Macaca fascicularis: one gene and its partners. The protein of the gene in region 2 interacts with the protein of the main gene of each other region in a pairwise test. Links are inferred from orthologs where the notes say so. Each region holds a gene or a part of one and is shown on either strand. Other genes may lie near its edges.

The links.
Region 1: the proteins of SEPTIN1 (region 2) and AMOT interact in binary tests that used the Homo sapiens proteins (3 or more experiments, as listed by UniProt). The two-hybrid records come from large-scale screens. The link is inferred for Macaca fascicularis from reciprocal best matches to the Homo sapiens genes SEPTIN1 and AMOT.
Region 3: the proteins of SEPTIN1 (region 2) and AURKB interact in binary tests that used the Homo sapiens proteins (3 or more experiments, as listed by UniProt). The link is inferred for Macaca fascicularis from reciprocal best matches to the Homo sapiens genes SEPTIN1 and AURKB.

Annotation. Positions count from the first base shown.
Region 1 is NC_088395.1:119,286,991-119,290,597, reverse strand, and holds part of AMOT (angiomotin), read left to right. Parts: coding exon 1-173; intron 174-1,304; coding exon 1,305-2,057; intron 2,058-2,385; coding exon 2,386-2,483; 3' UTR 2,484-3,607.
Region 2 is NC_088394.1:28,524,002-28,528,166, reverse strand, and holds the start of SEPTIN1 (septin-1), read left to right. Parts: upstream 1-1,282; 5' UTR 1,283-1,302; coding exon 1,303-1,320; intron 1,321-1,480; coding exon 1,481-1,571; intron 1,572-1,667; coding exon 1,668-1,754; intron 1,755-1,962; coding exon 1,963-2,086; intron 2,087-2,383; coding exon 2,384-2,518; intron 2,519-2,612; coding exon 2,613-2,730; intron 2,731-4,115; coding exon 4,116-4,165. UniProt on the Homo sapiens protein: Filament-forming cytoskeletal GTPase. May play a role in cytokinesis.
Region 3 is NC_088390.1:8,288,292-8,292,592, forward strand, and holds the start of AURKB (aurora kinase B), read right to left. Parts: upstream 2,900-4,301; 5' UTR 2,854-2,899; intron 2,572-2,853; 5' UTR 2,547-2,571; coding exon 2,499-2,546; intron 232-2,498; exon of another isoform or gene 171-231; coding exon 68-170; intron 1-67. UniProt on the Homo sapiens protein: Serine/threonine-protein kinase component of the chromosomal passenger complex (CPC), a complex that acts as a key regulator of mitosis.

The DNA of each region.
Region 1 (3,607 bases), on a different chromosome or scaffold from region 2:
GCGTTCCCGGAAGGAGCCGAGCAAGACAGAGCAGCTGTCGTGCATGCGGCCAGCGAAGTCTCTGATGTCCATTTCCAATGCTGGATCAGGCTTGCTCTCCCACTCATCCACCCTGACTGGCACCCCCATCATGGAAGAAAAGCGAGATGACAAGAGCTGGAAGGGGAGCCTAGGTAATGACAGTAAATAAGGAAGATTATAGTCATGTGTTCAAAGAGAGCCATGAGACAAGCACCCATGCTTAAGGAAAAGGGATGATGGTCCAGGTTCTGGAGAGGAAGGTGTACCAGGGTTTTGGGTTCATATTCCTCCTGAGACCCTAGTTCCACATTCTGGAGCTCCTCCACACTTTGAAGTCTCCTGGTGAGAATACTGATTGAGGCCAAAGCCTAGAGGACAAGAATCTTGAGTTTCATTTGGGTGTGAAGGAAGGTAACTCTAATTTCCTCTAAAATATTCTCACATTTGACCTTTGCCATGTGGCACCTTTATCTTTCTCCAGAACCCATGTGGCCTTTTTGTCATTCAGAATTTCAAAATTCCAGCATTTCTGTGTTCCTTCCTCCTGTATAATAGGAGAACCCAGAGTTTTAGTTACGCTAAATCGTTTGGGTAGCAGGTTTTGTTCCCACAGTGTTCTGAGATGAGAACAGAATGTACTTTTTCATTCCATTCCTGTCCATTCCCTCCCCTCTAATCAAAACCCCAGACATATTGTGGATACCACGGGCACATTTTTAGAGCCTGAGGAAGGAAGCTTATATGTATTTTTATTTTAACCCTTTTTGTTGCTTTTAATTCCTTTCTTGGTCCTCTGATACTTATAATATCTTTTGGTTAGAATAAGCATTTTGGAGACTATGGTCATGGTGAGAACCTTAGATCACACAATTATTACCACACTTAATCTGTGTCAATAGACTTATTCTCCAAATCCTTTCTTGCTCCCTGGTAATGTGTGGTAATGGTTTATAAGTGGAGCCGAGTAGGAGCATTCTGACAACTTGGTGGAACCCAATCACCATTGGAAAAATAAATCAAAACAGATACCCAGGTCACTTACAGGCTTAATATGTTGTGCCAGGTGATGGATGAGGACCAGAGGGATCTTCGAAGTCTGTAAGAAACTTTTAGCCATGGTTGGAGGAGCCTCACACACTGATTTCTGGGTTCCCTGGAGGCAAAAATAAATAATTTAGACACATTCAAATTTCTTCTGAAATTTGAATGGGAGAACAGGTAATTAGATGTCTGGATTTGAATCACCTATTTTTTTCTAATGTCTGTTCCCCTTTCATTTGTAGGCATTCTCTTGGGTGGAGACTACCGTGCTGAATATGTCCCTTCCACACCCTCGCCTGTGCCCCCCTCGACTCCCCTGCCCTCGGCTCACTCCAAGACAGGCAGCCGAGACTGCAGTACCCAAACTGAACGTGGGACGGAATCGAACAAAACTGCAACTGTTGCTCCCATCTCTGTTGCTGCTCCAGTTGCTGCCGCCGCCACTGCTGCCGCCATCACCGCCACTGCTGCCACTATCACCACCACCATGGTAGCTGCTACTCCAGTTGCTGTTGCTGCTGCTCCAGCTGCTGCTGCTGCTGTTGCTGCTGCCCCGTCTCCAGCCACCGCTGCTGCTATTGCTGCTGCTGTTTCTCCAGCTGCTGCTGGTCAGATTCCAGCTGCTGCCTCTGTTGCCTCAGCTGCTGCCGTTGCTCCTCCTCCTCCTCCTCCTCCTCCTCCTCCTCCTCCTGCTGCTGCTGCTGCTGCTGCTGCTGCTGCTGCTGCTGCTGCTGCTGCTGCTGTTCAGGTTGCTCCAGCTGCTCCGGCTCCGGTTCCAGCTCCGGCTCTGGTTCCAGTTCCGGCTTCAGCAGCGGCTCAGGCTTCTGCTCCTGCTCAGACTCAGGCACCAACTTCAGCTACGGCTGCAGCTCCAACTCCAGCTCCAACTCCAACTCCAGCTGTGGCTCAGGCTGAGGTTCCTGCAAGTCCAGCTACCGGTCCTGGACCACATCGTTTGTCTATACCAAGTTTGACCTGCAATCCAGACAAAGCAGGTAATTATTCCCTTTAGCAGGTAACTTTTGGTTTAGTTCTGCTCTCAAATACAGATTTATTTCTTGTTGCCTGATGTCTGGGCAGAGTTATCCTTTGGACTGAATTTTTCATGTTCTAAGGGAGAGAGAAGAGAGTCTGTAAATGACTTCTCATCCACCAAGATGGGAACAGGCATGAGTGGAGGCCATTATCTTAGCAGAAGTAAATGAGGGAGGTGACAAGTCTCACTTTGCCATTGGCTTCATGAGGGCTCTGATGGTGTCTAGTTCTAGAAATACAGGTTTTTTCTTCATCCCTAAGTGTTTTCTAACCCTTATTTCCATTTAGATGGGCCTGTGTTCCACTCCAATACTCTGGAAAGAAAAACTCCCATTCAGATCCTGGGACAAGAGCCTGATGCAGAGATGGTGGAATATCTCATCTAAACGGCCAATTCAAGAGCTGCAGATTCTCAGCAAAAATGCTTTTAATCATTTCCCCCTTTTATTGGTTCTTGTTTTGGGGGTGAGGACAAGGGTTGGGGGGAGGGGATGTTTTTTAACAGGACTTTTTGTTGGAACAATGTACTACTTGAGTAATACCATGTGAACCACCAGTCTATTCTGGTATGCTTAGGGAGTACCTCTAAAGACAGATTAATCAGAATGTGCTCTAAAGCTTATTGTTTGAATTTATACAAATACTGGGACTGTTAACGGGTGGGCATACATCAGTGTTTTCAATGTGCTTAAATTTGTTTAAAATTTCCATATTCTAGATCATTTTTAACTGAAGAGCACAGTATGTGTGGAAGACAGTGTGTAATACGTAGTTTGGAAGTGGGAAGCTGGAGAGAATTGAGTGTGTGCTGTCTTGTATAGTTACTATCCTGTGCAGCAGCCGGAGAAAGCTCTCACCTCAGGCTTATAAAAGGGAATAGTTTCAGGAGCTATGTAAGCTGGAAAAAAGGTAGGGAGTTTTGGGGTGCAGAAGGGTGCTGGAGCTAATTTTTTCTTCCAATTTCCCATCTACCCTGCCCCAGGGAATTGTGTTTGTCTTCATTTCAGTGGTGCTTTGGAAACGGATTCTTTTGGTTCCCTCCTGGAGGTTCATACATTCATATATATGCTCTGGAATAATTTATGCATTTGGATAATTAATATATTGCTTTCAGATGCTGGGAGAGTACATTAACTGAGTGATGCACAACTTCCTCTCTCTTAGGGAGTTAGACCATCAGAGGCCTTGATGGAGACTTGCGTGAGGTGCTATATGCAGACTTTCATGGTCTGTGTGTAGCCATGAACATAGCTTGCTTGCATTTATTAAGACCAATCAGCTTAGTGTTTATTTCTTCTACAGCACAGATTCACTGGCTGGGGCTCCAGTCTCAAATTGCCAATCATTTGCAAAGTGAGGAAGGATCTTTGTTGACAGGTTGAATGCTTTGAATTTCTGGTGACTACTTTGAAATAACTTGTTTTGTGTGTCAAATTCTAAGCATATGTCTTAAAAGGCATTTTTGACTATCATCTCCAAGGGAATAACATGAGAAACCCAAAGTACTATG
Region 2 (4,165 bases):
ATGTCCTGGGTTCGAGCAATTTTCTTGCCTCAGATTCCCAAGTAGCTGGAATTATAGGCACACACCACCACGCTTGCTAATTTTTGTATTTTGCTAGACAGGGTCTCGCCATGTTGGCCAGGCTGGTCTTGAACTCCTGACCTCAAGTGATCCACCCACCTCGGCCTCCCAAAGAGCTGGGATTACAGGCATGAGCCACCATGCCCAGCCTGGTGCTGGGAATCTGAAGAAGGAACAATGACCCTGCCTATGGTAGGTGGGGAGATTGCATAGAGGCAGAGCCCTTGGAAAGAAACACTTGAAGGATGAGGAAGAGTTTAACTGATTCGGAAAAAGGAAAAGCTCAATGTGGGTAGAGAGCCAAGGATGTTTGGAAGAGTGAGAGATGGGGTGATGAGGCCAGCTGAAGGAGGCTTTGGCAGTCAGGCCAGAATTCCGACTTGACTCTGAGTTACTGGGGAGTTCCTAAAGGATTTCGAGCAGCGGAGTTCCTTGGCCAGGATTCTGAAGGAAAATCTCTCCGGCAGTGGTTTCCAAAGACCTGGAGTCCTTTTATGAATCCATTGTCTTAGCTGGAAAATGGATGGCCTTATCCACTCCCAATCCCATCATGGCTTCTGGTCCACTTAAACCATGAGAATTTTTTTTCTTTTTCTTTTTTTGAAACAGGGTCTTGCTGTGTTGCTCAGGCTGGAGTGTAGTGGTGTGATCACAGCTCACTGCAGTCTTGATCTCCTGGGCTCATGCAATCCTCCCACCTCAGCCTCCCCAGTAGCTGGGACTACAGGATTGTACCATCATGCCTGGCTAATTTTTAAAGTTTTTGTAGAGATGGTAGAGGGGCACATCCCTCTGTTGCCCAGGGTGGTCTTGAGCTCCTTGGCTCAAGCAGTCCTCCCTCCTCTGCCTCCCAAAGTGCTGAGATTACAGGCGTGAGCCACCTTGCCTGTCCTGGGAACTGGTTTTTAATCAGCTCATCAAAACCTTCATCTCACTTGCTAACAAAGGGAGCCGCTTCCTTCCTCTCTGCACATACCCCATGTCTCACCATTATAATGGAGTTACAGTGGGACTTGGAATCCAGATGTGTGAAAGATGGAGGGGTTGAAGGTGCATAGAGGGGTGATGGGCAAAGGGGTCCAGGAGGTGATAACCCCAGGTATTCTTGGCCTTGGCCTTCCCCACCTCTCTGGGACTGGGCCAGTTTGAGCATCTCAGCTGCCTCTTCTGCCCGCCCACTCGTTAGCCGCACTCAGCTTCCTGCCCCACCAGAGGAAGTGGGGAGAGACGGCAGGTGCAGTGATGGCTGGCGGAGTCATGGTGAGTCCTTATGCCCAGAAACCCAGGCATCTCGGCCCCCAGCCCCCTATGCCTAGGGTCCCCAGACCCCACTGACTCTTCCTAGCCCAGGAACTCAAATGATCCTGGGGACCCTGCCTGCCATTGCCAGCAGCCTCATATTGTCCACCCCCATCCACAGGACAAGGAGTACGTGGGTTTTGCTGCCCTCCCCAACCAGCTGCACCGCAAGTCTGTCAAGAAGGGGTTTGACTTCACACTAATGGTGGCAGGTCTGGGGGGTTTTGGAGAGGGAACTGCAGAGAGGATGCCCTTAGGAGACCCTGGTTGTCCCCTCCCCTGACCAGCTGGGCCTGTTCTGTCCACAGGGGAGTCAGGCCTAGGGAAATCCACCCTCATCAACAGCCTCTTCCTCACCAACCTCTATGAGGATCGCCAGGTGCCAGAGGCCAGTGGTAAGACCCTCCCCACCCTCCCCAGGCAGTGGCCCCTGTCCCCAGGTTACACCCTAGTCTTTTCCATCTGGGGACTCAGGTAGTTGACTACTTTTTTCTGAGACTTTCCTCCCCTGGAAAATGGGTGCAGGCAACTGTGATATTAACAAAGGAAATTAATCTTGCCTCAGAGCCTCCCTGGATCCCTGACCTCTCCCCCCTCCCACAGCTCGCTTGACACAGACCCTGGCCATTGAGCGCCGGGGTGTGGAGATCGAGGAAGGAGGTGTGAAAGTGAAGCTAACCCTTGTGGACACGCCTGGCTTTGGGGACTCAGTGGACTGCTCTGACTGGTGAGGAAGAGGGAAGGGGACAGAGGCTCAGCCTCTCACAGTGGCGACTCCCTGAAGACCAACGGGTCAGTTACAGGGCTGGTTTGTGCTGGCTCCCTATTCCAAAAGGTTGTGTCTGTTTCAGAGGGTCACTGGGTCTCTGTGCTTCTTGATGACTCGCCTAGGCCCCCACCAGTTCCCTTTAATGTCTTTGGAGGGAGCCAAAGAAATGATGTTCTATTCCCACAGTCCTGGCTAGCCTCGCCCCCTGCCCTCTGGCCTTTGATCTCTGACTTCACATCCTCTTCCCACACCCAGCTGGCTTCCCGTGGTGAAATTCATCGAGGAGCAGTTTGAGCAGTACCTTAGGGATGAGAGTGGCCTGAACCGGAAGAACATCCAGGACTCCCGCGTCCATTGCTGCCTCTACTTCATCTCACCCTTTGGCCGGGGGTCTGGTGGGGGGATCCTGGGGGCTGGGGCATTTAGGGAGGGCTGGGGGGTCTCTGCCCCCTGAGGCTGGGCACTGACCAATCCCTGGGTGCAGGCTCCGGCCCCTAGATGTGGCCTTCCTTCGGGCGGTACACGAGAAAGTCAACATCATCCCAGTCATTGGCAAAGCGGATGCCCTGATGCCCCAGGAAACCCAGGCCCTCAAGCAGAAGGTGTGAGTGATGACCTCTGGCCTTTGACCCCAAGTGAGGCCAAACCTGATTTCAGCTTAGACTTCTTTGATCTTATTATTATTTTTTTTTTGAGACGGAGTCTCCCTGTGTCACCCAGGCTGGAGTGCAGTGGCGTGATCTCGGCTCACTGCAAGCTCCGCCTCCCAGGTTTTCACCATTCTCCTGCCTCAGCCTCCTGAGTAGCTGGGACTACAGGCGCCCGCCACCGCGCCCGGCTAGTTTTTTGTATTTTTTAGTAGAGACGGGGTTTCACCATGTTAGCCAGGATGGTCTCGATCTCCTGACCTCGTGATCCGCCCGTCTCGGCCTCCCAAAGTGCAGGGATTACAGGCTTGAGCCACCGCGCCCGGCCGACTTCTTTGATCTTAAAGTGGCCTTTTTGGAGCATAGTGTCTCAGGCTAGATTGTAGGAGAAGCTTCTGAGGAATGTGGGTGGTAAGCTGCCAGCCAGCGTAGCCATGTCTCTGAAGGCTCAAAATAGGCTAGATATGCAGCCCCTGGGCTAGATGCCTGGCTAAGGCCTATTTGGGGGCGGGAGCATAGACATAAGAACATGGTGACTTCCATCTGGCCCCCACCCCGTGTCTTCAGAGCCCTTTTCCACTGTTTCTGCTTATATATCTCTCAGCCTCTCTCTCTTTTTTTTTTTTTTTAGATAGAGTCTCACTCTGTGGCCCAGGCTGAGTACAGTGGCAAGATCATAGCTCACTGCAGCCTCAAATTTGTAGGCTCAAGTGATCCTCCTGCCTCAGCCTATTGAATAGCAGGGACTACAGATGAGCACCACCATGCCCGGCTAACATTTTTGGCTGGGCGTGGTGGCAGACACCTGTAATCCCAGCACTTTGGGAGGCTGAGGTCAGTGGATTACTTGAGCTGAAGAGTTTAAGACAAGCCAGGGCAACATGGCAAAACCCCATCTCTACAAAAAATATAAAAATTAGCCAGGTGTGGTGGTGTGCACTTGTAGTCCCAGCTATTCAGGAGGCTGAGATGGGAGGATCACCTGAGCCTGTGAGGTTGAGGCTGCAGTGAACCAAGATGGAGCCACTGGACTCCACCCTGGGTGATAGAGTGAAACCTTGTTTCAAAATATATATATTTTTTTGTAGAGATGGGATCTAGCTATATTGCCCAGGCTTCTCCTGGTCTCTTAATGTCTGCCCCATATTAGAATCTTGTGTTTCTCACCATCTATGTCTCTGAGATTTTGTTTTTGTCTTCCTGTACGTCCATCTCTCCCCATCTCTGTCTTGTCTTTCTGTCTCTGACCAGCCAGTATCTCTGTGTCTCCCTGTCTCTGGTCATGCAATGTCTGTCATTGTGGCCTGTTTCACACTGTCTCTGTATCTGTTTCCCCTGAGATCCGGGATCAGTTGAAGGAGGAGGAGATCCACATCTACCAGTTCCCTGA
Region 3 (4,301 bases), on a different chromosome or scaffold from region 2:
GATGACCTTCTCATCCCTAAACCCTCCCATAGACGCTCATCAGTCCTCTCCCCCTTGCCCCAGGTACCTGTGGGCTGGACATTGGAGCGGCTCATGAGGACAAGTGCAGATGGGGTGACAGGCTCTTTCCGGAGGACTCGCTGGGGCAGGGTGCTCAGGCCAGACGGAGCCTGAGAAGGAGCAGGGGGTAGCTCTGAGGGTGCCTTTGTCTGATGACCCGGGTGGAATGTGCTGCAAGCAGTATTTCAGCCCCTTGCTAAAGAGCCACCCACCCGCCCACCCCCAATTCAAAGAGAAACACTGATGTGACAGTTTTGCCTCCCAGCCTCTGCTCACAGTCCCATGTTAAAATGGGTTATTCATAAACAACCTAGGGCCGGGCGCAGTGGCTCACGCAGTCAGGAGTTCAAGACCAGCCTGGCCAACATGGTGAAACCCCGTCTCTACTAAAAATACAAAAAATTAGCCCAGTGCGGCTGGGTGTGGTGGGTCACGCTTGTAATCCCAGCACTTTGGAAGGCTGAGGCAGGCGGATCACGAGGTCAGGAGTTCGAGACCAGCATGGCCAACACAGTGAAACCCCACTCTACTAAAAATACAAAAATTAGCTGGGCGTGGTGGCGAGTGCCTGTAATCCCACCTACTCAGGAGGCTGAGGCAGGAGAATCGCTTGAACCTAGGAGGCAGAGGTTGCAGTGGGCCGAGATTGTGCCATTGCACTCTAGCCTGGGCGACAGAGCTAGACTTCGTCTCAAAAAAAAAAAAAAAAATTAGCTGGGTGCGGGTCCTGTAATCCCAGCTACTTGAGAGGCTGAGGCAGGAGAATTGCTTGAGCCCGGGCGGCAGAGGTTGCAGTGAGTTGAGATTGCGCCACTGCACTCCAGCCTGGGCGACAGAGTGAGACTCTGTCTCTAAAAAATAAAAATTAAAAAATTAAAAAATAACCTAAGTAGGCCTAAGATAAGGGGCAAAAGACTCACACCAACACCTAACATTTCACCTCTTTGGCCCTGGCCCACACTTTTCAGGCATGAAGCTGTTCAACTTGTATAAGTCCTGTCCATAACACCACAGCCATTCATCTAGCCTCTCACCTACACCACAGTAGAGAGCTGGGTGTCTACTGTGAACACCCACAATTCAAGGGGTTTAGACAGAGGTATTCTCAAAGTCTCCCAAAAAGCTTAGTTTATTAAGGCTTAGATAAGAAGCTTGAGGCCTTGAATGTTATAGCAATAACCAGGGGTTACACCTTTGCAAGAACAGCCTTTAAGGACACTAAGAGCTACTCTGATGGCCCTGGACCACTTCTCACTTTCACCTTCTTTTTTTTCTTCTGAGATGGAGTCTTGCTCTATTACCCAGGCTGGAGTGCAATGGCGCCATCTCGGCTCACTGCAACCTCCACCTCCCAGGTTCAGGCAATTCTTCTGCCTCAGCCTCCTGAGTAGCTGGGATTACAGGCGTCCGCCACCATGCCTGGCTAATTTTTGTATTTTTAGTAGAGACAGGGTTTCACCATGTTGGCCAGGCTGGTCTTGAACTCCTGACCTCAGGTGATCCACCTGCCTCAGCCTCCCACGATTACAGGTATGAGCCACTGCACCTGGCCTCACTTTCAGCTTCTCAAAATAATAGATACACTTTCTTTTAGGAGTGACCAAGGTAAAAGTGACAATGGTTTCTCATTCAGACTCCATTCCTGACAGCCTCACTCATTGCTCCGTGAGGGAGGGAGCTGATGAACAAGGGGACAGGCAGATTCTCCAGGAAGCCCGAGCTCCACAAACAGGGAGCAAAGCCTATGCAGGGCCCCTTCCTTCTTCTTCAGCCAAGAGAAGAGAGCCCCTATGCCCCTAAAAACCTCTTCCCAAATAGTGATATTGGTACAGATCTACAAATAAGCAAGTTGAATAAAATACAGTCCAGAAATAGACCCACATATATGTGGGAATTTATATATATAATAAAGGTGGCATTTCAAATCAGAGAGGAGGCCCCTCAATGAAATCTGTCTGGACAACTGGGAAATAAATCCATTTAGATTCATTGAGATCCTTACCTCAACTTACTCATTAATTCCAAATTATAATTTAGACTTTTCCTGGACCTTTTAAACAGTAACTTTATATCCTTTTAGAGTCTATTTATATTTGCTGTCTAGTTTATTTTTTTCAGGACATGGGTTGGGAATCATGGCCTGAAGGCCAGGCCCTGCCTGCTCAGTCCCAGATATCACTTGTGTGTGATGAACCCTGCAGAGGCCCTCACCGGCTGGTAGTCACTGGCTGGTCAGATTCAAGTTGGCAGCACCTAACAGGATGTGGCTGGCTACAAATGCCCAGACCAGGTTCTGTCATCAAACTTGGGGCGCGTACTTTGGAGCATAACGGGAAAGAAAGTGCATAAGGGATTGCTCTTTGCACGATCTCAAGTTTCCCAGCAGGAACTCGCCATGCGGGGTCATGTGGGCGCGGGGAAGGAGGGAAGGGCCTTACCGTCTGCCGGCCGTAGGGCCAGGGGTAGGCGTTCTCCTTCTGGGCCATCCTTAGAGGGAAAGGGGGAGGAGAGCTGGGCCGAGAAGGGAAACAGCCGTGAGAAGCAGAGAAAAAGAGAGAGAGAGAGGTAGGGGTTGGACCGATCAAGCCGGAAGCGCTAGCCCGAGCTGGTAAAAGGGAGCAGGTCAGCACACTAGCTCCAATCCGGGCGCTTGTCTCACCGCCCCCACCCTGCTATCATCCCTACCTCCTTCCAGCCCTGCAGTGTGCGCGCAGGCCAGCCCAACGGACCCTCTGATCTGCCTGATCATCTGCCCACTCCTGGCGCAAGGCCTGCGACAGGAGGCCAGCTCACCTGAGGTCCAAGGTACTGCTACTCTCCCGGCCGCCCGCAAACAACTGAATCTGCCACGCCACGCCCTGGCCGAGGACCTTTCAAATCTCCCGCCCCGGCCCCATTGGGTGAGCTCGTCGCCCATGCCTAGTTCCCATTGGCTCGATGTCCTGTGACGTAAGTAATGGGAACCCAACGGAAGAGGCACGCTTGGCTTCCAGCTTAGGAAGGTTTCCCCACATTCCCCCAGTGAATTATCTTCCTTTTTCTTTTCTTTACTTCCCTTCCCTTCCCCTCCCCTCCCCTCCCCTCCCCTCCCCTCCCCTCCCCTCCCCTCCCCTCCTCTTCTCCCCTCCCCTCCTCTTCTCCCCTCCCCTCCTCTTCTCCCCTCCCCTCCTCTTCTCCCCTCCCCTCCCCTCTCCTCCCCTCCCCTTCTCTTCTCCCCTCCCTCCCCTCCCCTCCCCTCCTCTTCTCCCCTCCCTCCCCTCCCCTCCCCTTCTCTTCTCCCCTCCCCTCCCCTCCCCTCCCCTCCCCTCTCCTCCCCTCTCCTCCCCTCCCCTTCTCTTCTCCCCTCCCCTCCCCTCCCCTTCCCTCCCCTCCCCTCTCCTCCCCTCCCCTCTCCTCCCCTCCCCTCCCCTCCCCTCCCCTCCCCTCCCCTTTCCTTTTTTGAGACAGAGTCTCTCTCTGTCGCCCAGGCTGGAGTATAGTGGTGCTATCTCGGCTTGCTGCAACCTCTGCCTCCCGGTTTCAAGCGATTCTCGTGCCTCAGCCACCCGAGTGGCTGGGATTACAGGCGCCCGGAATTTTTGTATTTTTGGTAGAGACGGGTTTTCACTATGTTGGCCAATCTGGTCTCGAACTCCTGTCCTCAGGTGATCCACCCGCCTGGGCTTCCCCAAATGCTGGTATTACAGGCGTGAGCCACCGCGCCTGGCCTTCTTCTTTTTATAAAAAAAATTAAATCTTTAATATAACTGGAGTTTATCCTTATACATGTATGAGCTGGGGTCTAACTTCTGCGCGATGGAGAGCCAGTTATGTCAACACCATTTGTTAAACAAACTGCCCCAATAGAATTTAAATGCTGCCCTTGATATATAATGTTAGCATATTTACTTGTGTCTATGTCTAGACTTTGTATTCTGTTGTTTGCTCATTTGGCTGTGTGTTTATTCTTGTGTCATTACTATGTCGTTATTAAAAGTTCTGACATTCCTGGGAGGAGTTTTCCACGAGTAGACCTTTCCTTGCAAGATCTCTGTTAGCTGCCATGTTGTTTGGGCCCACTTTGATTTTTCCTCCTTCCTGCCACACTCCCTTCTTTTCTGCTCTTCCTAACCCTCAGATTTCATTACTGGGTAATGAATACATTACTGTAAATAAATACATTTCTGGGTCTTCTATGAAATAACCAGTGGATACTTGTTAAGTATGTACTGTCCAGCACTCTTCTCCTTTCTCCTAACACT